Saccharomyces cerevisiae S288C: one gene and its partners. Changing the gene in region 2 together with the main gene of any one other region gives a genetic interaction. Each region holds a gene or a part of one and is shown on either strand. Other genes may lie near its edges.

Region 1 (3,046 bases), 890 kb from region 2:
ATATCTACATATCACCAAAGAACGTGAGAATGGGCAGGAAACATCTTGGTGATTCGTTCATTAACCGGCGGAACAATCTCTTGTATCATTGTAGTCTTTTTCACTACACACAGTTGTAACTGTGGGAAACAGTTTGCGCGTAAAAGTCCCAAGTTAATCAGTGTCACAAGTACGTTTTCGACGTTCTTGGGGGAGTGAATGCCATTATAAATGGTAATTTCCTGGGCGCCGGGATCCTCGAATGTCGGACCAATAGATAGCTGTAGTACCCGTTCTATCAAGGAGTACGGTAATTTGTTCTGACCCCATTCGGTGGTCCAGGACTTTATTACCGTTTTAATCAGATTTCTGTACGTTACCATGGGCAGTTTCTCTAGGAGCACGATCAGTAACTGTCTTGCACACAAATGACGCTCGTTTTGTCTCAGCCAGAGACTCACGCCTTGAATATTCCCATAACGTACGTGTTTGTAGAGAACACTCCAATTATCAATTGTTTCTTGGGAAAGGAACGGTCGCAACGGTCCCCATTTGACCATCTTTCCCAGTATCAGCCCTGTAGGGATCATGTAATTTAGTATTCTGGTGCCATTCCTAGTGATCGCTTGGTTCGTTAACGGCAAGTTCAATAAGGACTGGAAAGCTTCATTGAATTGAACGAAGGCATTATGTACTTGAGAGTTCAACAAGTAGTACCTTCCTAATAGATATCTGTATTCTATTTGCTGGTCGAGCTGGTATTCGTTGAAATGTGCAAGCATGCTTTTTGGCTGAAAGTTCTTAAAGATATTGGAACATAATTGCGGTGACTCGATCCTGAAGTAGATGTTATTTAGTTTATTGACCAGGTAGAGCAGTATTCGTTGTTTTCCAGGTATATTTGTAGAAGATGCGTTACCTCGTGGAGGTTTGATGCTGTTAAATAGTCTTGATAGGATGGACGATATATGTGATAGAAATTGGTGACTTCTCGTATGCAGTTGCAAGTGGAAAGAGTCTAGTTTCCCAGCGAGATTGATGATAAATTCTGTTTCTCTAGTTGCTACTGGTATCAACATTTCTATGTGAGGAGCATTGTCGTTGATGAGACAGTTGATTAAACATTGATAAAACTCAAAAATTAGATCCGAACTGGACCAGGCTGACCATGGGTCGACATCTCGGGCATAATTTAAAAAGGATGTACACATGATTTTGAATCTCGTATCATTGGGCATAGCCGGGTGTTGTTCTACAAACGTTTCTAGCTGTTTATCATCAAATCCGGTCAATTGCTTCTGTAAGATAGCAATTTCCCTACCATTTTGGGACAAGTTTAGCGTTAGGTGGGAAAAATTTCCATGTGCTAATTCATCTAGCAACTGGTTGGCCATGTCCATTGCTATCTATCCTTTTATCCCTGCCCTGTTTCTTACTTTGAATGCCATTGATGTGAAGATGGTTTTTTTTTTTTGGAAAAGTATAGAAGAGAAATTTGACGTATAAACTTAACTATTAAAGGGAGAGAAAGTCAACGACATAAAAAGCAAACACAATAGTCTACAAATAATGTCTATGGAGCCTCCTGTGGGGCTTACGGCTATGCCCGTCACCAAGCTAGCCATGATCACGACGCTTGTGGTTCCCTTAGTTGCCTCGATTGCAAGTTACAAACATATATTTCTATTGCAATATGATCCTTTTCTGCAGACCTACCATCAATACTACCGTCTGCTCATATTCCAGTTCTGCGCCATCAATGAATCCGATACAGTAATACTGGCGTTGATATGGTATCTGTTTAGGCATTTAGAACGGCTACTAGGATCCCACAAGTACTTGACCTTGATTGTTTTGTCATGGGCCTACACCACCTTAGGAATTTGGGGATTGAATCTGATCTGGAACGCATTTATTGGACAGTACAAGTGGCTTCAATGGAACAATTTTAGTACAGGTTCACTGCCCATTGTTTTAAGCTTAGTACATTTTTACAAAGAATACACCCCTCAGATTTACGAATGGAATATAAGATTACTAGGACCTCGAGGAGGAGCATCAAGTCACAATGATAACAAGCGAGAAGACAAGAGCGCCGTAGAGTGGAAAATCAACGATCAGTTTCTTTTAAATGGGTTAATTCTCCTGCTTATATTAAATCAGGGGTTTGCAGGAATACTATGCGGATTCATAAGCTGGATGTGTGGTATTTTCATCGATAAGGGCCTGTTACCGGGATTAGACCATTGGAGAATACCGTTTGTATCCTATTTCATCTCTCAAGGCCCACCCACGAGGGCTAACGTTGCTATAGCGGCCAATGCGGCCACGAATACAGCAGCAGCAAGAGCCACTGTAGAAGCAGCTACTGCTGCTACAGGAAATGGAAATACAGGCAACTCTGGGCCTACAAGCCTACCGCTTCGTGGTTCAAGCACCACCCCTACAAATACCTCTAGCGCTGGTGATGACGAGCCTGGTGCCGATGAACCTGCAAGACCACTGGGAGTCCAATTTTTGGATACCTTTAGGAGATGATTTATATCAGCATATACCTACATAAACAAATAAACATAGCAACGGTTTAGCAACATCGTTTACAGCCATGTGAGGCAGTTACTTCTATCATATGTCTGGCTTTAGTATTGTTGGGTTGACACTTATACGAAATATCAGAAAGTGAAAAAAAAAAAAGGAAGGATCTAGTGATGAGATAAACGAATTTGTGATGTAAATGCAGAAGTAGGCACAAGTGCTTGGCAGTTTTCAAACGATCATCGTATTTTAAGCTACAATCACCAACGCCAAACATCCACTTGCAGCCACTATGTCACAGCAGGAGAATGGTGATGTGGCCACTGAATTAATCGAAAATAGACTTTCCTTCTCAAGAATCCCTAGAATAAGCCTTCATGTAAGGGATTTGTCAATCGTTGCATCCAAAACAAATACGACGCTAGTTAATACGTTTTCCATGGACCTGCCCAGTGGGTCGGTCATGGCAGTTATGGGTGGTTCGGGGTCAGGGAAGACTACGTTGCTGAATGTTCTGGCATCCAAGATCAGT
Region 2 (5,292 bases):
ACACTTTTCTACGGACGTTCCAATTGTGAACTCGTTGAATTCATGTCATATTGTTTCTGCGTTAATATCCGGATTTTGCGGCACTTTGAGTACCATTAGCACGTTTATCAATGAAGGGTATAAGCTATCATTTATTAACATGCTTATTTATTATACTGTTTCGATTGCAATTTCATATTGCTTATTGGTGATAACTCTCGGATCCTATGCTTGGACTAGAGGATTGACCAACCCGATTTGTTAGGATCTTTTCTTTATACTTTTCCCTGCATAATCATCCCACTTTTTTTTTTTTTTTTTTTAATTCATTTTCAAGATTTTAGACGTTGTATAATACATTTTTACCCACTACTGCGGTTTATTGTAATATTTTGTGAGATTTTATGAATGCGTTCCATCATCTATTTACTACAAAACGATAAATTTCCCCGTTTTCTTTTACTTTTACTTCATTTAATATAATTCATATTTATTTCCCATGTACCAATTAATTACTCATAAAAAGAACAGAAATAGAAAAAAGTTGTATATAACAAGCCAAAAAAAAGAAAAAAAAAGGAAAAAAAAGAAAACACAGCTTATTTCAAATTGCAATCTGCGTATTTCGTAAGTAACGAATGATCTCACAGCATTGCTTTTTTTTTTTTTTATATATATATGTACATTACCTATGTCACATATGACCATGATGAATACAACACTAAAAACCAAGGCCTACTATTCAATTGTTCTCTATATGATTTCCATTCTAGCAAAATCGAGTGCTACCGACCTGCCGTTTTCTTTACCTTTCGAACCATTGAGCTGTTAGCCTTCTCTTCACAGAAACTGAAAGTCATTAAAAGCCTCCCCTTCAACAATTCCCTTGTCTTTTGTTTCAGCTATATAATGCGTTTATAGCTCTAATTGTGGTCGAATAGGAAGAATTTGCGTTAACACCCGTAACTAGCTTTCCATCTGTAATAGAGTAGTCATCCCAGGGATGGATTGGCGCCAAGTACTTGGCTCCATTCTTGTTTGCAACGCGTTCAACCGTTGTCAATTTTCTGCTCCTCAAGATGTCGTCAACTCCCAGGGCGATTTCACCCTCGAGTGGGAAACCTGTTATAGCTTTGCCTTCGATTAATGGTCTTGTTGTTTTGATATCTATTAATCCATCGAAAAGGAGCGGTCCATGACAGATGGCAGCGATCACACCCCCATTGGCATATATCTTGGATGCAATATCTTGCAGATTTTTAGCTTTGGGATAGTCAAATAGAGCACCATGTCCAGCAGATGCAAAGAATACTTTATAGTCGCTGGCGTTGACTTCATTTGCGGTCTTGATCCTCGCTAACGCCTTATTGAAGGCGGAATTTTTCGTTTCAAAGTTCATCTTATCTTCGCCACCAATAAAGCTCTTTGGCAAGTAATGTTCATCCCAGCCAAATCCACCAGTCTCAGAAACGAAGTCCACTTCGAAACCATGCTTTTCGAATGTATCGAACGATCGCAAAATCTCAACTACAAAAACGCCTGTTTTCGCACCATCTTTGTAGAAGGGACCGTGGTATGAAGTAAGAGATATTAGCGCTCTTTTTGGAGTCATTGCAAGGCCAGTTTTCTTTTTGAATGAAGGAGAAAAGTGTTCTAGAAATATGTTTTAGTTCTAAGTATCGTTGTCTGGAGCAAGCAAAGAAAAGCAGACCTGTATGTGCAACTTTCCTGTTTTCCATTAAAATCTCAAGAACCGACCCCTTGACTGTGCTCATATATCAAGTATCGGTTTTAAAGTCCCCTAATTGTGATAATTGCAAGAACGACAGTCAGAAAGATATTTTTTTTTTTCTTTCTCTTTACCTATCCTCCATAAAAATACCTATGCTGATACTGAATATCTTCATTTGCAGCTATGCAATATTTCAGATACCCCATTTTACCCAAGAGTTTCTTACTGGTGGTTGGATTTTCTTTAAGACGAGAAGATTACCAGTCCTGGATGTTCGTGAATGTGCCTATTGCGTCATCAGCGACTCCGCGCCAAGAAAAGAAATACTCGCATGCTCGGATTTATAGAATCGCATAATGGAAATACCTTCCTTAAAGGATGGAGATAAGGAAAAAATGACAAGAACAAGGAAGTACTTGGGAGCTTTCTCCGACATGGTAAATATTTGAAACTCACGCAGCTCTCCTGGAAAGTTGGATCTGGAAAGGTAAGGTTGTTTTTTTTACAGACATCAACCAAAATCGGTTCTTGTAGTAGACAATGTCACAGATCGCCACAAGTTGAAAAAAAAGTTTCGATGAACTGGATAAGGGGAGAGGTCACAAACAAAGTGTAGGGGGTGAGTAGTATAGTGGTAACTTGTTCATTTACCTAAATAACATTCTCACTAGAAAAGAGATATTGAAAGACTCCTCGTTTACCTAACTTGGCTGGTTCTTAGGTATATAATAGAAACATGGATCTGGCAGGTTATCACTTACAGTTTGCACTCCCACCAGGTTACAATTTTCATTATATATAGTTATTTTTTACCACCACTTCTTCTTCTTTCACTTTGTCTTGCAATAGAAATACCAAAACAAGGTGAGGAAAAAATCGAATCTCAACGATAAAAATATGTCCATCACGAAGGTACATGCTAGAACGGTGTATGATTCTCGCGGCAATCCGACTGTTGAGGTTGAAATTACAACAGAGAATGGTCTCTTCAGAGCGATCGTCCCATCTGGTGCCTCCACCGGCATTCACGAAGCTGTTGAACTTAGAGACGGGAACAAGTCCGAATGGATGGGAAAAGGGGTGACCAAGGCAGTCAGTAACGTCAATAGTATCATAGGGCCTGCTTTAATCAAGTCCGAATTATGTGTAACCAATCAGAAGGGCATAGACGAGCTCATGATATCGTTAGACGGAACTTCTAACAAGTCAAGGTTGGGCGCCAATGCTATCCTTGGTGTTTCCTTGTGCGTTGCTCGAGCTGCTGCCGCACAAAAGGGAATTACTCTCTACAAGTATATAGCCGAGTTAGCGGATGCTAGACAGGACCCCTTTGTTATTCCTGTTCCTTTTTTCAATGTTTTGAATGGTGGAGCCCACGCCGGTGGCTCTTTAGCTATGCAAGAATTCAAGATCGCGCCAGTCGGGGCTCAGAGCTTTGCAGAAGCCATGAGGATGGGTTCGGAAGTTTACCATCATTTGAAGATATTGGCGAAGGAGCAATATGGACCTTCCGCTGGAAATGTTGGTGACGAGGGTGGAGTTGCCCCCGATATTGACACTGCCGAAGACGCCTTGGACATGATTGTGGAAGCCATTAACATATGCGGTTACGAGGGTAGAGTGAAAGTAGGAATCGATAGTGCTCCTTCTGTTTTTTATAAGGACGGGAAATACGACCTAAATTTCAAGGAACCGAACTCTGACCCATCTCACTGGCTCAGTCCAGCCCAGTTAGCAGAATATTACCATTCATTGCTAAAGAAATACCCAATCATTTCCCTGGAAGATCCCTACGCCGAAGATGATTGGTCCTCGTGGTCTGCCTTCCTAAAGACTGTCAATGTTCAGATTATTGCAGATGACCTGACATGCACCAACAAGACCAGGATCGCCCGTGCTATAGAGGAGAAATGTGCGAATACTCTGTTGCTGAAACTCAACCAGATCGGTACTCTGACTGAGTCTATTGAAGCCGCCAATCAGGCTTTCGATGCTGGATGGGGTGTAATGATATCGCATAGATCAGGTGAAACCGAAGATCCGTTTATCGCTGATTTGGTCGTTGGTTTAAGATGTGGTCAAATTAAATCGGGCGCTTTGTCGAGATCAGAAAGACTGGCCAAGTATAATGAACTTTTGCGTATCGAAGAGGAACTGGGGGACGATTGTATATATGCTGGTCATAGGTTTCATGATGGAAACAAACTATAAAGGATTGTCTTGTTTCCTTTTTTTTTTTTTTTTTTTTGTTTTTTTATGACTAAATAAAGTAAATCATATGAGGTTTTATTTTTTATTTCGTTGATTTGGGTTACAGTATGGAAATGGGGCATTTGACACAAGTTATTTTATTCATATGTTTTATCTTGTAGGAAATCAAACCGTTTTTAAAGTTTTCCATTGCCTACACACAAAATCATTACGAATCTGTCTGAACAAGGGTGGACGTGTGGGGGAAGGCTGTTCCAATCAAGAAATGCTTACAACTCTACTAACACTGCAGTTTTTCAGCTTTCTGATTAATCTCTTCGGTTTAAATTTTTTAGCAGCTATTACTTTCTAGTAACCCTTATAACGCGGTTGGTATCAAATCTTCCTGATAGTACAAGCAGACCTTTGACCCCATTCTTGTTGTGTCTTGAAATCTTTTTTTCTGACAAAAGTAAGAAGTTACACCATAATAGAGAAGTTAAATAATGAAAGTGTATCGATCATAGAAATGATTTTATTTTTTTCAACTACTGTTACGGTCAAGAAACTAATACTGAGGATAAGTTTTCGCAACAATGATTTTGGTACAAGTGATTTAAAGTCTTGAATTACTTCAACACAATTTGCTTTGCGACGGTTTAGAATAACGTAATCGTATCAACGAATCCACTAGGCGCGCGTAAAAATTACAGACTCTAACAATATACGACTCCCAGCACATACCTACTATTCTGTACAATTCCGGGAAATAGGAGGGTACAGTATTATTTTTTCTCGGCGATCGTTTAGGGTATACTGGAGATAGGCTTAGCAATACGCTTCTGAACGAGGATCTATAGCAACTAAATTCAGACATTCTGCTATACCAAAAAAGGAAGTATCACAGGCACGGAAAAGGGTTTTATAAGGCACCTCGGCACCCCTATAACTGGCATTCTCACATTCGGCGCATACGAATAGACAAAGGCCCCAGAAAACAATACCTTCGCATACAGAATCTATAAAGATGCATGCCTCGTTTAAAAACAAAAACATCTTCATAGTGATCATGAAGTTGTGGGAAAGATGAGATATGGAGAATATGTGAAGTGCTAAAGGAGCATCTGTTAACGAATCGTTTAAGTGGTGATGACCAATGAAGGAATAGGTATAAATAGAGATACTTCAACTATATGCCTTCGAGAATATGTCTTTATTCATTTCTTTCCTGTTAAGCTTATATCAGCACTAACAAACAAAACAAATACAATGGTCAAATTAACTTCAATCGCTGCTGGTGTTGCCGCTATCGCTGCCGGTGTTGCCGCTGCTCCAGCCACTACCACTCTATCTCCATCTGACGAAAGAGTCAACTTGGTCGAATTGGGTGT
Region 3 (5,168 bases), on a different chromosome or scaffold from region 2:
AGCAGCCTTTTGTTTGACAAGTGAAATGTCAACAAAGAATAAATAAGAAGTACGGTTACGACTATTGTTTTTGATTTCCTTGTAGCGATCAGGTGGGACAACTTCCTAGACATGATCTCTTCTTTCTTTTACTTGCTTTCTTTTTCCAAATTGCTATTATTGCTCTTGAAATGAAAACGGAATCAAAGAACTAAAACAACCTATCCCTATTAAATATAAAAGGATGCAGATGGGGAGAGAGAATGTGGATTGGCGAGAAATAATGTCGGTATTCGAAGAAGGCAGAAATACTAAAGTGGCTACCAAGCTACCAAACTACCTTAATGCAGAAGTTTTGACGTTGCTGTCCCTGCAACGTGAAAAGTCCAAAAAGGCGCGTTTAGTTGAGGCCCAGCCAAATCTTTTCGCGGTGGGCCGGCCAAATAGTTTAAGCAATTTACCCAAAAAAGAATAAAGAGAGGCGTAAAGACGTTAGTTAATATTTTATTATTCCTTCTCCATATGTCGGAATTCGGTGTACATACATATATATAGATATTGTTATATAGATTTGTGCATTTGCAAGCCACCCTAGTTCATCAGGTTGAAGAAGTATTATTCAGCTCTTATTTATCCACGACATTGATGTTGTGGGCCTTCAACTCTTCCTTAACCTTATTGATGACTTCGGGATCATCGCTGATGGGTCTTGTGTAATCCAGCAGGACAGTGGTCTTATAACCTAGTTCTGCAGCGGAAATGGCGGTGGCTTTGACACAATACTCCAAAGCTACACCGACAATGTAAACCTCGTCTGTATGATGCTTTTCTAAGTACTTGTTCATGTCGGTCTTATGGAAGTTCCAGATGTCGTGGAAGGCGGAGTAGTATTCACGGTCAGTCAAGAAACCCTTGTCGACAATCTTAATATGCTTAGTGACCACTTGGTCCATTATTTGGTCAACCAATTGACTACCCCAGGTGTTTTTCACACAGTGTACGGGCCACAAAATACCCTCTTGCGTGGAATCATCGCCTGGCCTTGGAGAGTGGTAGGTGTATGTTGAATAGGGTTCTTTATCTTTATGGTTCTTTGCGAACGAAATATGTCTGGAAGGGTGCCAATCTCTGGTGACCACAATCCTGTGCCAGTCTCTATCAGCATCTTGCATCAAATCCGAGATAGGATTGATTAATTCCTCACCTTTTGGAACAGTCAAGGAACCTAAAGGTGAAATAAAATCATTTTGCATATCAACAACAATTAAAGTCTTCATTTTTGTACTGTATTTTATTCTTTCTAACAAAGATATAGATAATCGTAAAAGAAAGTTTTGTTTGAAGGTTTCCTCACCTATTGCATCCAACCAGGTACCAGTTAAGAGTACATTGTATATGAAAATATATATATGAGTAATATATATATATATAGTTTTATTAATAACTATTAGCACATCATAATCGTATCTGGAGACACATACATAGTGGGCCAAACGGAAACCCCTGCCCCTTGAAGAACTTTTTTTTCATAATTCACTTTTCCAGTACGTAACACCACGCGGCGCCCCTTTGTGGGGCCTGCCCCTTTTTTTTTTTCTTTCTTTTTTTTCGGAAACATTCCGCGAGATTTCGGCACGTCCCAAATGATATCGAGCTAACACGTATAAAGCGATAACGTATATAACGACGTATGATTTTAGCAACGGAAGACGTTAACAATGACATATGGATATTTATTTATATATATAATATAAAAATTTCATTACCCTGTGTGCCACCTTGATCCTTGACTTAATATATTTTTTTCTGCTTGGATCTCGGCGGCAGTTTTTTCTGTTTCATATAAGGAGGATCGTAGGGAAAGAGGAAAACAAAAGGCATAATTAACCAATAGCAACAATATAAGCAGTACAGAACCCTCACCACCAGAATGCAGAAGTGTGCTGGCCATGCACCACTGGTGACTGCAGCCTCGCGGGTCTCCCAAGACACCGTAGACGCTCTTTTGCAAGCTATTTTAAAGGCCTACCATAAATTAGCTTCGATCGACAGTCACATTAATGATCCTGTTGAAATAGCCTTCAAGCTCATAAACTCTTTTAAGTATCTGCCAATTTCAGGCTCTTCTGTAAAAGATTTTGAGTCGGAACTGCGGGAGTTAGACGTTTTTTCTCCCCTTTTGCAGTCAGCCGTTACTGCTGCTAATAATAGCAATATCATATGGGACCTTATAGCGGTGTTATTTGCATACATTTCCATCCATAAACAGCTCCATCCTTTGATCCTGCACAATCTGAACATATGGAAGGATTTTATGGCAGATAATGACGAAGAAACGGCGACAACCACGGACGGGGACTCAATGAATTTCGGCGTACTGTCGCTTCTTTCCATTGTTCAAAATTTTGAAGAAATAACGCCAAATCTATTTGAGTTTCTAAAGCTCGGTTTGAGATCCACTTTACTCAAGATATGGGTAGCACAATGGCAAAGATACGATCCTTCGGCAACGAACTTAATCAACGGTGATGAGAAAATTTCTAGCTGGATAACAAAGGATTACCAGGTGGATTTTTTTATCATCACTTCATTAGCATCAACGTCCTCATTAGAAGTTTTGCCATCTCATTATTTTGTGTACAAGATCTCTAAAAGGATCTCTCACTTCCCAAATTTAATTGATCCTAAACTATATCGATCTGCAATTTCTACAATAATGGAAAATGGGATTTCAGACAATGGTGGTGGTGAGAACTCCAGCGACAAAATTGATCCGACTGATTTGTCCTTTCACTTACAAGTTTTAATGGAAGTTATTGACCATCCTGAGTTGAATTATTTGCAGGAAAATCGATTAATTTTGTTGCTCGACATTGCATTAAATTATTTAATCCTGGTTCCTACTCACTGTTTACATTCAAACTTTGGTGAATTGGGCTCTACTCAAAGTTTAGCATCCACTTTAAATATCATTCAGTTCCTTCTATCGAAATTCTTAATCAACATGGGCAGTATTTCGCAATTAATTAATCAATACAACAGGAAATGCATCACTACTAATAACATCAATAATAACAACATTAACAACAATGGCGTTATTAATGGTAGTACTAACACCACTAGTACTACTACTACTACCATCACTAATAACAATAATAATAGCAATAATAGCAGTATTAGTAATAATAACAGAAAAATAGACTGGACGCAATCATATCAAACGAGGTACCAAATTCCATACTGGTTTGAGGACTCAATTTTGCCACCAATTCCGCCTATTTCGAAATCGCTTTTCACTTTTGACAAGAACCTAGACCATGAGTCGGATTCAATTATGATTGTAAATGATGTATTACGCTGTTTGAATTTAACCATTCTTTTAATTTCTAAACTTCTAAGGGATTATGATGACCTGAAGATTAACCCACTAATTCAATCATCAGATGATCACAGTAATGAAGACAATCATGTGATAATAGAACAATACATGCAGCTTTATCTCGTTCCATTATTTACTTCATTATTATTGGCCCAACAATTAAAAGACCGAGGCCAAGAACGAGATGAAGGACATAAAGAGAAAGAGGAAAATATAAATCTCATCGGGTCTTCCTCAGTCAAGAAATTATTTTCTCAACTAATTTTTTTTAGCTCTTTGAAATTGTGTGAAAATTTGGTCATAAAGGAAAAAAATTTAGCACTATATCATTTGATCAAATTCGCGACAAAGGTTTCTCTGGATGATTTGATTTTACAAAAAATATCCATAAACTTATTGAATCATTTGTTCTTCCATCAAATTAGGGATGGAAGTGATGATGATAATTTAATTAAAAAGTTATGTTTAAAAAATCAACTTTCTTTCCAAGCTTTGAAAGATTACATCACATTGTGGAATGACGGTTCTGAAGTTTATAATGCATTTTATAAGGAGCTTTTCTATGAAGAGCAACCAAAGATTAAGCCAATAAAACTAACAACATCTGACTTGCTGAAATTATTCCCTGAGGATGTTCAATTTGTGATATCCACTCCACCAAATACAATAACTTCAGCATCAACAAGCGATAATTGTACATCATCACAATCAGCTGCGCAGAAAAATATTGAAAACTTTACTACGTTATCGAAGTACGATGTCTACTCGTCCACATCTTTCATACCGTCCACGTCGAAAAACACTAACACTAACGTTAGTAAGCAGCAGCAGCAGCCTCAAAACTCTACTCCATGTTCTTCCAACAGGTTTTTGTTCAACAAAAGCAGCCTAATTTCTCAGGAAAGTAATGGTAGCAACAATAACAGCGGCACACAAGGACCTGGTTCCATGAATGAGAGTTATTCTCTTGACAATTCATTCAACACAACCAATACCAATATGACGAGACAACCAACCACCTTAACTAGAGCAACCGATGCTATGACTACGGCACCTACGACACCAATTCCATACAAGAACACTAGTGGAAGCAGCAATAACAATCTATGGATTGAATCGCCCATGACAAATTTCAAGGGTTCCACCATCAGTAAAAGTACTAATAAGAGCAAAATGGTTAATACTGGTAAAAATTATATTTTAGGGGGCCACAATAAAGTTAAAAACAACAGTAGAGCTCAATCAATACATATAGATGACTTTGAAAATGAGAACAATTAATTATCTCTGCGGAAGACTAAGACAATCAAAATATGTATTCTTACTATCATAATTAAATATTTTTATCGTTATTAATTATTATTATTATTACTATTATTATTATTATTATTATTATTATTATTATTATTTATTATTTATTAATTATTAATTGTTAATATTATTAATTCTTGTCTATTGTCTTTTGATTTATCTGCACCGCCAAAAACTTGTCAGCGTATCAGTCCATGTGTGGGAAGGGCAACGGTAAACTTCTTATGGGTGGTAATGTTTCCAGTTCTTGAACTTGTGAATCCGACTGAGAAATGGGGGTTTGTTGGGTGGATATAGCAGTATTAATCATATTCACCCTTGGTGACAATAATAACGGGGTTGTACTTAACGAACTACTGGAAGCCATCATTTGATTTTGATTTTGATTTTGACTTTGGTTTGACGTATTTTGTGATTGCAGTAGGGTATGTTGCTCTTGCTGCTGTTGTTGAACGTTCAGTAATCTGTTGTTCAACTCCTTTTGGAAATCAGGAGATGA

Evidence for each region. Genes that interact genetically often act in the same process or in processes that back each other up.
Region 1: mutations in ERR1 (region 2) and DSC2 together harm fitness less than expected from each alone (positive genetic interaction), as found in Saccharomyces cerevisiae (2 studies listed by BioGRID).
Region 3: mutations in ERR1 (region 2) and VIR1 together harm fitness more than expected from each alone (negative genetic interaction), as found in Saccharomyces cerevisiae (2 studies listed by BioGRID).

Annotation. Positions count from the first base shown.
Region 1 is NC_001147.6:193,303-196,348, reverse strand, and holds DSC2 (Dsc2p), read left to right. Parts: upstream 1-1,548; coding exon 1,549-2,517; downstream 2,518-3,046. Other genes in the region: THP1 (Thp1p), read right to left, coding at 12-1,379; YOL075C (uncharacterized protein), read left to right, coding at 2,807-3,046.
Region 2 is NC_001147.6:1,077,668-1,082,959, forward strand, and holds ERR1 (phosphopyruvate hydratase ERR1), read left to right. Parts: upstream 1-2,608; coding exon 2,609-3,922; downstream 3,923-5,292. Other genes in the region: FEX1 (fluoride transporter), read left to right, coding at 1-244; HSP33 (glutathione-independent methylglyoxalase family protein), read right to left, coding at 878-1,591; seripauperin PAU21, read left to right, coding at 5,051-5,292.
Region 3 is NC_001139.9:426,692-431,859, forward strand, and holds VIR1 (Vir1p), read left to right. Parts: upstream 1-1,909; coding exon 1,910-4,639; downstream 4,640-5,168. Other genes in the region: OCH1 (initiation-specific alpha-1,6-mannosyltransferase), read right to left, coding at 1-113; PNC1 (nicotinamidase), read right to left, coding at 606-1,256; transcription factor MIG1, read right to left, coding at 4,857-5,168. UniProt on the Saccharomyces cerevisiae protein: Component of the MIS complex, a complex that mediates N6-methyladenosine (m6A) methylation of meiotic mRNAs and is required for initiation of meiosis, progression through the meiotic divisions and sporulation.